Linked DNA regions of Cricetulus griseus. The protein of the gene in region 3 purifies or fractionates together with the protein of the main gene of each other region. This does not show direct contact. Links are inferred from orthologs where the notes say so. Each region holds a gene or a part of one and is shown on either strand. Other genes may lie near its edges.

What was found. The genes of interacting proteins can lie anywhere in the genome.
Region 1: the proteins of Ptch1 (region 3) and Grk2 purify together in Homo sapiens (affinity purification with western blotting; 3 studies listed by BioGRID and IntAct, with this or other methods). This does not show direct contact. The link is inferred for Cricetulus griseus from reciprocal best matches to the Homo sapiens genes PTCH1 and GRK2.
Region 2: the proteins of Ptch1 (region 3) and Ccnb1 purify together in Homo sapiens (affinity purification with western blotting; 3 studies listed by BioGRID and IntAct, with this or other methods). This does not show direct contact. The link is inferred for Cricetulus griseus from reciprocal best matches to the Homo sapiens genes PTCH1 and CCNB1.

Annotation. Positions count from the first base shown.
Region 1 is NC_048596.1:54,951,817-54,955,928, forward strand, and holds the start of Grk2 (beta-adrenergic receptor kinase 1), read left to right. Parts: upstream 1-1,312; 5' UTR 1,313-1,513; coding exon 1,514-1,626; intron 1,627-4,112. UniProt on the Homo sapiens protein: Specifically phosphorylates the agonist-occupied form of the beta-adrenergic and closely related receptors, probably inducing a desensitization of them. Key regulator of LPAR1 signaling.
Region 2 is NC_048595.1:319,292,145-319,296,390, forward strand, and holds the start of Ccnb1 (G2/mitotic-specific cyclin-B1), read right to left. Parts: upstream 2,801-4,246; 5' UTR 2,665-2,800; coding exon 2,644-2,664; intron 2,181-2,643; coding exon 2,010-2,180; intron 1,917-2,009; coding exon 1,758-1,916; intron 1-1,757. UniProt on the Homo sapiens protein: Essential for the control of the cell cycle at the G2/M (mitosis) transition.
Region 3 is NC_048596.1:281,140,543-281,144,660, reverse strand, and holds the start of Ptch1 (protein patched homolog 1), read left to right. Parts: upstream 1-1,318; coding exon 1,319-1,477; intron 1,478-2,034; exon of another isoform or gene 2,035-2,388; intron 2,389-3,042; coding exon 3,043-3,235; intron 3,236-3,720; exon of another isoform or gene 3,721-3,827; intron 3,828-4,118.

The sequences.
Region 1 (4,112 bases), about 230 Mb from region 3:
GATAACCCCCCCCCATCTGATTTGTATTGATCCAAAGCAGTGAAGAAGAGCAAAGGAAGTAGGGGTACTTGTTTTGCTGGTCTGTGAACTGGAACAAGAATCAGTTTCTAAGTGTCCAGAGCTGGGTTTGAAGAGCCCAGGCACGTTTGGAAATCAGAAAGGTGCTCTTAAAGATTTTATTTATTTATTATATATACAACATTCTGCTTCCATGTATGTCTGCACACCAGAAGAGGGCACCAGATCTCATAACGGATGGTTGTAAGCCACCAGTGGTCGCTGGGAATTGAACTCAGGACCTCTGGAAGAGCAGTCGGTGCTCTTAACCTCTGAGCCATTTCTCCAGCCCCTAATTTTTTTTTTTTTCATTTGTTTGCTTGAGATATGGTCTCACTATTTAGCACTGCCTGGATTTGACCTTACAGAAAGACACCTGCCTCTGCTTCTCAAGTAATGGAAGGACAGAATAGGCAGTAGTTGGTTACGATAGAAGGAGGCACTTAGAAGGCCACCAGGCCTGAGGATCTGAGTTCCATCCCTAGGCACCCAAGTGGTTAAAAAAAAAGAGAGCACTGATTGTCAAATTGTCTGTCCTCAGACCTCCATATGTGCATAAGTAAGTAAATAAAAAATAATGGAATAAAAAAAAAGTTCAGCCCTCATCGGAGTGTGGTTTGGTAGCTCACACAATTTAATCCATCTCAGCACTTGGGAGGCAGAGGCAGGCAGAGCTCTGTGAGTTAGTGGCCAGCCCGGTCTACGTGGTGAGTTACAGGACACCAAGGACTACATGGCAATCAATACCCTGTCTAAAAATAAGGAAAACAACAGCAAAATGTTCATAGTATTGTCACCCGAGGTCTGGGGTCCGAGGTGTTTATGTTAGTGTGATCCTGAGAAAATGTTCTGAAATCTGAGTCTGGGATCTTGGTCGGTGTCAGGATTCTTATTATCGTCCACGGTCTGGGGTCCACGCCCTGCTGGGAGCATGGAGTCTAGCCTCCTGAGGAGATGCGATCCCAGTTTGTGGCCATCCCCTAGGGTCGTCCCGGAGTCCTGGGTGCAGGACTCAGGTAACAGCCCAGGACTGCGATCCGCGTCCCTGTCCCGGACCCGAGCAGCGCGGCCTCTAGGGGGCGCTGCCGCCCGCCTGCCCGCCGCCCGCCCGGCTCGGCCCCTCGGCGGCTCGCTGGCGCTGTGCGCGGCAGCGGGGCCGGAGGCGGCGGCGGCGGCGGCGGCAGCTCCGGGCGCGGGCGGGCGGAGGGAGGGCGGGTGGTGGTGGTGGTGGCGGCGGCGGCCCCCGACTGCAGTCCCGGCGGGAGCGGAGCGCGAGCCGGGCCGGGCCCGAGCCGGCGCCATGGGGCGGCGGCGCCTGTGAGCAGGCGACGAGCGGGGACCGGACGGGGCGGCGGCGGCGCCGAGGCCGACAAGCCGCGCGGGCCGAGCCGGGCCGAGCGAGCGGGAGCGGAGCGGAGCCTCGGGCGGCGGGAGGAACAGCGCCGCCGCCGCCAAGATGGCCGACCTGGAGGCGGTGCTGGCCGATGTGAGCTACCTGATGGCCATGGAGAAGAGCAAGGCCACGCCGGCCGCGCGCGCCAGCAAGAAGATCCTGCTTCCAGAGCCCAGGTGAGGAGCCCGCCTCTGCCGGGCCCCACGCGCCGACCCGGGTACCATGCCCCCGGGGACCCCTCTCTCCCCGCCGCCCCAGGCCCCGGGGACTCCCCCTGCTCCGGTGACCCTCTGCCCCAAAGACCCCACTATCCGGGCCGCCCCAGGACCCGGGGACCCCCATACTCCCGGATCTTCTGCTCCGGAGACCCCACTATCCGGGCCGCCCCAGGACCCGGGGACTTCCTCTCTCCCTGCCACCGCAAGGCCCGGTGCCTGCGAGCCCGGAGCGCCCCAACTCCAAGCTCCCATCGCGCTCTCCCGGCCGCGCTACCGCTTCCTGTATCTCACTGCTGGGCCTGGTCGCTGTCAGCCCCTAGCTCTGCTGCAGCTGTCTTCCCACCCTGGGTGCTGGACTCTGCCCTCCACCCTTTGTGTCCCCTTGGGGTTCCTTTCCCCAGGTCTGCCTCTGTTTACCCAGTCTGTTGCTCCTGCTCCCAGCACCCCCCTCTTTGGCGTTCCACTGTCCTATCCACTCCCCTCAGAGTGGGTAACACTCTTGTTCGGTTTGTGGAGTAGGGAGGACCAGTCTGGAGACTTTTTTTTTTTTTTTTTTTTTTTTTTGCCTTCTCATCTGGTAGTGTCACTGCCCCTGGCTTGGATTTGAGAGTACTTTGGGGGGACAGTGCTGTGTGATGTGTCTACCATCCCTCGGGGCTGTGCTCAGGTGAGGGTAGTCCCTTCTCCGTTTTCTCCCCATGTGGTGCCTTGTAGGTACTTTTGACGAGGGGACAGCCCATCCTACAGTAGCTGGACCGTGCTGCCACCTTTCTGCAAGACAACTGATGTCATTGCACCTGGTATCAAAGTTTAAACTGTTCAGGATGTGGGTGCAGAATCGGGCAGGATGTGAGAAGTGTAGCTGGGGTTTGTCCAGTATATTGTGGCAAATAGACTTACCTTCCCATTTGAACTCACAGGAGACCAGAGAGTGAGTGAGACAGGTGTAGTTTTGTGCCCATAGAACAAGGTTTGTGTGTGTGTGTGTGGCGGGGGTACAGCTCCCCCTTGAATGGCTTGTTCAGTGTCACCCAACCTCCACATCAGGGCTTCTAGTTGTATCTTTTGTTCACTGTCTTGACCTGAAGGATGGCCTGGATGTCCTGCGTCTGGAAAAGCAGATGTGTCTTCTACACATCAGGATGCCTTATGGTGGATGGGTGGTGAGGTCAGTCCCAGAAGTTTTTCATGACAGTCCCTTTAGCAGCCAAGAATTGTTCCTGACTTTACCACCATACTCTTATCACAAGACATGGGGCAAGTTCTTTTCCTTTTAGACCTTGATTTTTACCTCTGTGAAATGTGGGCAGTATGAAATAGGCCTCTGGTGGCCCCAGTTGTTGGAGCAGGGTTGGCAGCTTACAGGGATGCTGTTGTACACTTACCATGCCCCTCCTCCAGTGGCTGCTTACTGGGTTTCGGGTTGACTGAGAATCAGGCCCGTAGAGGAAAAATTGGTCTGCGTTTCGAAGAGGCCGTTGCCCCCCCCTTTTTTTCTAAGACATTTGCAATCAGATTTCTCAAAACAGGAACTAGACGAGTGTCAGCCAGGGCTGTCTAGGGGCAGCGGCAGTTAGGACGAAATGAGTTCAGAAATGACAAAACTTCAAGGGAAGAGAAGGGGGAGGCTTGCAGTTAGCATCTAGGGCACTGTCTATCTCTTCTGGGCAGCCACAGCCATGAGAGTCTTGTGCAGGTGTGAGGTCTGCAAAGTTTGAGGTGGTGCCTTTTTCTAGAACTCTCCATATTTGGATAATCTTTCCCCAGAATGCATTTCTCCTACTGGGCCCTGCCTTGAGTGTCTTCTGCAGGCATTAGAACCCTGATGAATGAGCTGTGCCTCTTCCCCTTTCCCCTTTCATTTGGTGGCAGTGGCGATGTGACAGCAATGAGAATGGAGTTTTTAATAATACATTATTTATTTTGACATCTGTCATCTTAGTTAATCCAAAAACCATCGTGTGAAGTTGGCAGGGCCATGCCTATGTGGACTAGTTGTAAACAGTACCAGGATGGGGTGATAGTCTGTGAGCAGAATGGAGGCAGGCTGTGAGTTTTAGGAAGCAACGACGGCACCATAGGCATTGGTACAAGGGCAGGGCACCATCAGCACTATGTTGTTGATCCAGTTGCTCAGTCTGGATGGTGAGGAACCTCTTAACTCTGAACACTGGTATGCTCAGGCCAGGAAAGGACCTGGAGTCACCCTGCAGTGGCCGTGGCCCTAGGCATGCAAGCCTCCCACGATGGAAAGCAGTCACCTTTGTGATGCATGTTGCACATTCTTGAGGCATATGTCTCTTGCCCTTGAAGGTAGTTATGGTTGGGTCTCACATTTGCCCAGTATGTCCCAATTTGTGAAGTGCCTTGTCTTCACAACTCTGGTATGCTGCTGACCCAGCAGGTGGTATTTTCCTCATTTACTGATGATCAAGGTCTTGAGG
Region 2 (4,246 bases), on a different chromosome or scaffold from region 3:
TTGCTTAGCTGTAAAAAACACTTGTTTTTGCCAAGGGCTAGAGTCTAATTTCTATGCAGGAACCAGGTAACTCAAAATTCTTGCTCCAGGTTATGATGCCCTCTTCTGCCCTCCTTGGGCATTGCACTTAAGTGCAAACCCCTGCCCTACATATGAAAAATAAATCTTTAATTTAAAAAAAAAAAGAAAAAGAAAATTTCAGAGCCAGGCATGATGATACATGCAGTTAATCCTAGTACTTCTCTGTGAATTGAAGCCAGCCTGGTCTCCACAGCAAACTGCAAAGCCAGCCAGGCAGGAATAGTGAGATCTGGATTCATAAAAAGTTAAATCCAAATTTAGACTAAGCCAGTTTAAAATAGGAAGAACTGGACAAGAAGGGTAAAGGTACCAAGCCCCACAACCCATGTGGTGGAAAAACTGACTCAAAAGGTTGTCTTCTGACCTCTACAAGTATGCACTCACATACAAAATACAATGTGGTTTTTAAGGAGCCCTTTCTACTCCAAGGTAAGACCAGAACTCAGATCCTAGCACCCACCTTGGGTGGATGGGTGCGAAAGCACACCCATGTAAAAGAAAGTCAAAAGGAAAAACAGATAGGTAATAAAGCTATTCATCAGCACCAGGTGGAATTAATTCAAACCACGATAAAGCTTTATTCAGGTGAATACAAGCTCTTCCTTAATTACAAAGATGTTAGAGAAAGTGACATAAAGTAAACTGATAAGAACTGTGTGCTACATATACCGGGCAGTGATGGTGCACACCTTTAATGCCAGCATTCGGGAGGCAGAGGCAGGTGGATCTCTGTGAATTCAAGGCCAGTCTGGTCTACAGAGTGCCAGGATAGGTTTCAAAGCTACAGACAAACCCTGTCTCAAAAAACAAGAAAACCAAAACCAAATCAAACCAAAGAGCTGTGTGCTATGTAGCTCAGGCTGGCCTTGAACTTTCAATCCTCCTGCTTTAGCAAAAGTGCTAGAATTGTACCATCACACCTACGAGTAAAATTTGGTGAGGGTGTGTGTCTGTGTTCAAGAACTGAATATGCACTAACAGACAGAGAGCTACAATCCCAGCCAAAACTCCACCCCCCCCCTTTTGAAACAGGGTCTCACTATCTATAGGTCTGGCTGACCCTTGTTATGTAGACCAGGCTCGCCTTGAACTCAGAGACTCACCTGCTTCTACTCCAGACTGCAGGGATTAGAGGTGGCACCACAACACACCCTATTTAACTCATCTAATTTTCTGCCTGAAAAAACTTTATTCTTGTAACAGGTTTATTAATTTAGTGGCCATATTAGGGAGTAGAAGATTCACAAACACATCTGTGTTTCATTCAATTAATTCCGGACAGAGTTGAAATTACAGAACAACAAAAACCTTTAGTTCAGGATGCTACACACATAAGAAAGCAATGAAAAGATCTGGCCTGGTTGCACCATCCCAGCACTGGAGAGGTGGGGGCAGAAGAATGTCAAATCAAGGGTACCAGGGCTACAGTGACAGAGAAAAATGATGAATGATGATGTCCACCTTTGGTCCCAGACCAAACCTCTGAGTTCCAGGCCAGCCAGGAGTACAGTCAGTCTACACAAAACAAAATCCCACATTTATCCTCTGCCATCTGAATTACAGCTAATACCTACTCCAGAGTGTGTAAATAAAAAAGCTTTGCTGAGCATTCAATACTCAAACGCTACCAGTGTGTAGAGGTCAGAGAAGAAGACTTTTTCATATGCTATGTTTACCAAGATAGGTTCAGGAGAAAGCTTTTCCTCCATAACAGGTTCAGGTTCAGGTTCAGGCTCAGCAAGTTCCACCTCTGGCTCACTCACAGGAACCTTCTCCTGAGGTTTTGGTGGTGGGATTTTAGCTGAAACTTTTCCAGTAACTGAGGTTTTTAGTTCCTGTGGAGGGAATGAAGAAAATAGAATGTTTTCCCAAGGGTGACAGCTGGAAGACGGGCTGGTTCAGGATAGCTGAGCCAAGAAGATAGTTACCTTTTTCAGAGGCACTCTTGCCTGTGCCTGTTCGCTGACTTTGTTACCAATATCCCCTAGAGCGGTTCTCGGTCTCAGCCCGGGCTTGGAGGCTGCAGCAATCGCCACAGGCACACGCTTGGCGCCTGTCATGCTGACCTTGGCCTTATTTTCTGTGTTAAGTTTCGTGTTCTGAAAAAAAAGTTAAGACCACTTGAGAGAGGATCTATGGCGGCTCCAGGAAGTCATGGGTTAATTAAGGCGCGACCCAACTGAGGCTCCCTGAAGTAAAGCCAGAGTTTCAGGGTCTAGCCTGGGGACGTGCCACGCAGAGTTTCCACCCAGATTTTCCACATTCATCTATATTCAAATTCCTCTTATGCCCTAAGCCATCCTAAAGACCGCGAATTTACATCGGAAAGGAAACCACGAAAGCCGGAGTTGTGGACATCTCTCTGCGAAGGCGCGGGGCTCACTCTGGGGGCTCCATCACTCAAGTACACCCTTCACTCCTCCCAGTCCTTCAGCCCGGATAGACCCAGTTGGTCGTCCGCTTCCCCACCTCGTCCGGGGCACTCCGGGACCCCACCCCCACCCCCGCATGGCCGTAGCGGTCTTCTCCCGCGGCGACGACAGCAGCTCCCGTCCGGCTCACCCTAGTGACTCTGAGCGCCATGGCTCCTCCTGAAGAAGAGGCTCGGCGACCAGCAGCAAAATCCCTGGCCTCTAGCGGGCCACGGCCAGACACCAACAGCCGTTCCTCCGCAGCACGCCGGGAGGAGTCTGCCGGGCCTGGGTTTAAACCCCGGGCCGCTCCCTCCTCATTGGTCCGTTCATGGCACTCGCTCTCTTCCCATTGGCGCTGCGAGTTCTCGCAGAATGCGTTTCCTGGGCGATCCCGCGACCACGTTCGGCGGGGGCGGGGCCAGAGCGAGGCTGCGGCCCCCGAAGCACCGCCCATCGGGAGCTCGGGCTCCGCGCCTGCGCACTCGCTGCTGTGCAGCCACCTGCTTTAGGTAGGCATGGAATGCACTGCCCACTAGTGTGCCATCCTGGTTAGCCTGGGAGATTGCTTTGGGCCTTAGGGAAAGACTGTGGAGCCGTCACGGTTCAGGAGCACGCACAACAGTTTGGCTGCCCCTCTACTCACTGTTCCTCATCCTCCTCTTCTACAGAAGTGCAGATGCTATCTTAGAATTCCTGAAAGGTTTTGAGACAGAGATGGTCCTTTATTTAATGTGATTTTTTTTTTTTTCCAGTCGGGCGTTGGTGGCGCACGCCTTTGATCCCAGTGCTCCGGAGGCAGAGGCAGACATATCTCTGTGAGTTCAAGGCCACCCTGGCCTACAGAGCGAGTTCCAAGACAGGCTCCAAAGCTACACAGATAAACCCTGTCTCACAACTCTTCGGCTTGCAGTTCTCCATCCTTCTACCTCAGACTCTTTATTAAGGCTTATTAATTTTAGTGATTTTTCCCACATTTATCACTAATAAATCTTATTTATTTTTGACCAGGATCTTAAGCACAGCTTGAGCTGGAACTGCATATATAGCTGAGAATGACCTTAAATCTCCTATTCTCCTCCCTCCACCTCCTCAGTGTGGGACACTAGGTGTACACCACAGCACTGGGTTTATATGACACTGGGGATTGAACCCAGGCTTCAAGCATGCTGGGCAAACACTACCAGTGCAGCTGTATCTCTAGCCCTCTAGTAATCATTGCTATGCAAATTATTATAGTTAGTAAGCAAATACTATATCTTACCATAGTCTTATCATAGCTCACACTGGCCTGGAAGACTATCTTAGACTGGCCTTGGAGTTTATAGTGGTCTTCCTACCTTAACTTCCTGAATGCTGGGATTAAGGGAATGTGCCATCACACCTGGCTAGGACTTTACTTTTAAGAGTAGTTTTAGGCTTTTAGCAGAACTTCACGGAAGTCCAGCATTTTACTGCCCAGCCTCCTCTAGTATTGGCATAGCACGACAGTGAGGTGTGTGTGGTGAATCATACCAGTAATCCTAACACTTACGAGGCTGAGGCAGGATTGCCACGAGTTCAAAGCCAATCTGAGCTATACTGTGAGTTCCAGGTCAGCCTGGCTTTGGAATGAGACCTTGTCTCAACAAAACAATCACCTGCTCCTAACCAGGACATCTATATCAATGCTGTCAGGGCTCAGGGAATATTGTGGGAGAGACAGTAGAAAGAAAGCAAGATTTGGGAGATAGGAAGGAGTTATGTAACAGCAG
Region 3 (4,118 bases):
ACACACGGGCGCACTATCCACCGCCCTGTCATTATTGGTGGAGGCCTGGGAATTCAAGGCGGACCTCCCAGTATTTGCTGCTGCTTGAGGCCAAAATGTCTCTAAAAGGGTTTTCTTTGAGGAATCTCAGAAATTGTTTAAGCGCTTAAAAAAAAATTACATATCCCCCGTGTCTATCGCGAGGCAAATGCTCCTGTATGTGTGAACGTGTGCGTGTGTGTTTGCGCGCGCGCTCGCAAAAGACGTCTCACAAAAAGAAGACACTGTTGAAAAGAAAAGAAATAAGAAAGAAAGGAGGGGAGCATTCCTTAATGGAAGTATTGCATGAGAGAAGGTTGGCGCAGAGCGAGTCCGTCCTCCCCCCCCCCCAAGCCGGGGATGCACACACGGGGGTTGCCTACCTGGGTGGTCTCTCTACTTTGGTGAGCTGTTGCTAAGCAGCTAATAATAGTCATGTTTGCTGAGTAATTTCTGCCCTCCGCGAGCCAATCGCGTCGCAGAAACCCAAGCCATCTGACAGCCCCGGGGGCGGGAGTTCCAGCCTTTTTCTCTTTCGCTCGCTCTCTCCCCCTCCACCCCCTCCCCTCCTCCTCCTCTTTCTCCAAATGGAGAGAGTTCTTTTTTTTCTTCTTCCATCTCATCTATTGAGTCAAGGAGCTGCTGCGGCCGCTGCCCGCTGCACACACACAGAGCGGAGTCCCCAGGTCCCGGGAGCGAGAGAGGCGCGCAGCGCGGGGGCAGAATGGTCCAGCGGGTCGGTGAGGAGAACAAGAAAGCAGAGTCCGGGACCGAGCAGCCACCGCGAACCCAGCAGTCCGAGAACGAGCAGCCGCTTCAGAAGCCGCCACCGCCAACCTCAGCCGCAGCAGCAGCAGCGGGGGCAGCGGCTGCCCCGGCCCGGCATCGCTGAGATCCGCCGGACACCGTCGCGTCGCCGGCAGCGGGCGCCTAGGGACCCAGAGCGAGTGGCGGGGGTCTGCGCGCGCCTTCTGCCGTGAAGGGGTCGCGGCGCGGGGCGGGGACGTCTGGGGGGACTTGGGGACCGCGAGGCGCGCCCTGGAAGCGCCGGCTCTCGCCTTCCCGCGAGCTGGATGTGGGCAGCAGCGGCCGCAGAGACCTCGGGACTCACGCGCAATGTGGCAATGGAAGGCGCAGGGTCTGAGTCCCCGGCATCGGCCACGGCCGCAGCACCCGCAGCGCCCGCCGTGTGAGCGGCAGCAGCGGGTCTGTCACCCGGAGCCGGAGTCCCCGGCGGCCAGCAGCGTCCTCGCGAGCCGAGCGCCCAGGCGCGCCCGGAGCCCGCGGCGGCGGCGGCAACATGGCCTCGGCTGGTAACGCCGCCGGGGCCCTGGGCAGGCAGGCCGGCGGCGGGAGGCGCAGACGGACCGGGGGACCGCATCGCGCCGCGCCGGACCGGGACTATCTGCACCGGCCCAGCTACTGCGACGCCGCCTTCGCTCTGGAGCAGATTTCCAAGGTGCATGTCTGTTCCCTCCTCCTCCTCCACTCTTCCCTCTTCTTCCTCTTTGGGATCCCTGCCACACACGCACACAGACACCCTCCTGAGAAAGCAGAAGACAAGTGAAGGTTGAAAATTTCAAACCCTCCCTCCGGACTTCGGAGGAAAGGGCTGTCTGAGGTCCGCAGGGGGTGGAGGGGTGCGTGCGTGCGTGTGTGTGTGCGTGTGTGGTGTGTGCGCGCGCACACGCCCTCCCTGGTGTGCCTTTTCCGGAGCTTTGGAAACCGTCCTGAGTGGACCACCTCCAGGGCGGCCGCAGTGCAGCACTGCCCCCGGCCTCAGCGCCCTTCACCCGCGCCCCTGCCTCCGTTGCAGCGTAAACCTCCGCGTTGCCACATTTCTTAACCTCTTCGTGGTGGAGGCGGAGTGGAGAGAGGCGGAGAGAGGCAGAGGGGAGGGAGCCAAAGTAAAGGTGGTTTCCTTTTTTGGCAGCCGGTTCTGCTTTCCTTGAGCTTGAAATCTCTGCTCCCTTAAAAATTATTCTCGGGAGAGGACGTCCCCTCTCTTCCAGGTTTTGGGCCGCCTCTTCTCCCAGCCTGCCGGGGAGAAGGGCAGTTGTAAACAAGTTGCCACCTTAAATCTTCGGTGCTGGTGTGAGGAACGGCCGGGTTCATTGTGTTTACGAGGCTGGCTGAAATGTGTGGAATCCAGGGAAGGCGAGCACCTAGCCTGGGGCCCGCTGGGGCCCTGGCCAGCACCAGGGCTCCGCCATCCCGACAGCAGCCTGCGCCTAGTCAGGACCCCCGCCGGCGCCAGCCTGGGCCTCTTCCCCGTATACTCGGCTGTTTTTTTTTTAAAAGATTTCACCAGGAGGGAGTGGGAGAGGAGGGAAAGATCCTTATGGCCGCCCTCTTCAGAGCACAAATAGTGTAAGTTGCAGATGGCTGCTGCACTTCCTAACTGAGCTCCCGCGGAGTCTCCCAAGGCCGTGGAAAAGTGTGTGGAGTGAACCCGGCTGCCGGGCTCACCACGTGGACCCCCGCGTGCAACCACCCGCCAGGCCGGGGGCCAGGTGGGCCACGGTAGCTTTATATTGTCCCTAAGTGTGCTTGCGCTCTTCACCCGCCCTCCGGGGTACCCAAGGAGGCCAAAGGCTGGAGCCGGATTTAGGGCAAGGGGGCAGTCGTGGCCTGGTGGTTTAGTGTTGGGCTTCTCAGCTAGGATCACTCAGGCCCTCTCTCTCCAGGTCCTCGATACTAGTGCCTGCCTGTCTTTGGCGGTTCCTCTGCTAGCCTCTCTCCCCAGCACCCCAAGTCTCATTCAGGAAAGTGCTCAGGCCATGCGTGGGGATACCCCGTGGTACCTAGAGTGCAGTTCTCACGCTGCAGCCTCGCTCTAATTTACAACCTAGTCCCCCACGCCTCCAGGGCTCCCTCTGACTAGTCCTGGTTCCAGCCCCGAGGGCAAGTCCCTGCGCCACGGCCGCCCACGCCCCCCACTGTTGGGGGGGGGATCCCCAGGCGGGTGTGCGCCGCCGTTAGCGACTCCCGGGCGTTCACTCCTCCCTTCTGCTTCGTCCCCAGGGGAAGGCTACCGGCCGGAAAGCACCGCTGTGGCTGAGAGCGAAGTTTCAGAGACTCTTATTTAAACTGGGTTGTTACATTCAAAAAAACTGCGGCAAGTTTTTGGTTGTGGGTCTCCTCATATTTGGGGCCTTCGCTGTGGGATTAAAGGCAGCTAATCTCGAGACCAACGTGGAGGAGCTGTGGGTGGAAGGTAAGAGACCCCGGCGCCGCTGGCGCGTCCTCTGTCTTCCTTCCCTTCCCAGTGTTTGATAAAGATATTTGCCAGCCTGCACCTAGAGCCTCGCCGTGGCCAGCGAAGCCCCTGCCCGCACCAGGGGCGACTGTTTATTGTTTGCATGCCTGGCCTGCAGCCAGGCCCGCCCGACAAAGGCCTCGCTGTAATCTACTCGGGGCGCTGCGCCTTGCTAGGTGTGGTGGGAGAGAGTGGCGGGGGCGCGAGGCCCCTGCGCGGGACGGACCACTCGGCAGGGCCGAAGGGGGGTGGTCCCTGAGGTCCGCCAGCTCCGCCCGCCTGGCTCTGGCCAGGGTGCCAGCGGCCGGAGGAAGGCCTCTTGGATCTGGGATGCTGGGATAGGCTTCCTTCCCTCCCCCCACCCACCCACCGCGTCTGCGGAGAAAGGAGAGGGGGTGGAGGGCAAGGCCACCCCTCTAGCTGCAGGGAGTGTGCGCGCCCCCGGGGCGCGCGGGGGGCGGGCGCCGCGCAGGCCTGCGGAGGCGGCCGCGTGTGTGGTCCTGTTTTTGGACAGCTTTCAACTCTGGGGGAAAAAAACATTTGTCTCAAGGTACAAAAAAAAAGGGGGCGGTGGGGGGATTGAAGAAAAAATAGTAAAGCACAAACTGGAAAGCGTGTTTGCAAAGTAGATTAATGTTTCCTCGCGGATGGGGACTTTTTAAATGGAATTATTCGGGGGGAGGCTGTGTTTGGCAGTCTTGCAAGAAAGAAATGTGTTTTTTTAAAGAATGCAGGTTTGATGGGAGGGGCGACGGGAGCTCCCCCTGGGGTGTGTGTGCCGGTCTTTTATCCACGTTCTTCGATTTGGGGGGTTGGGGACCTGCTTTAGAAAAGGACTTGT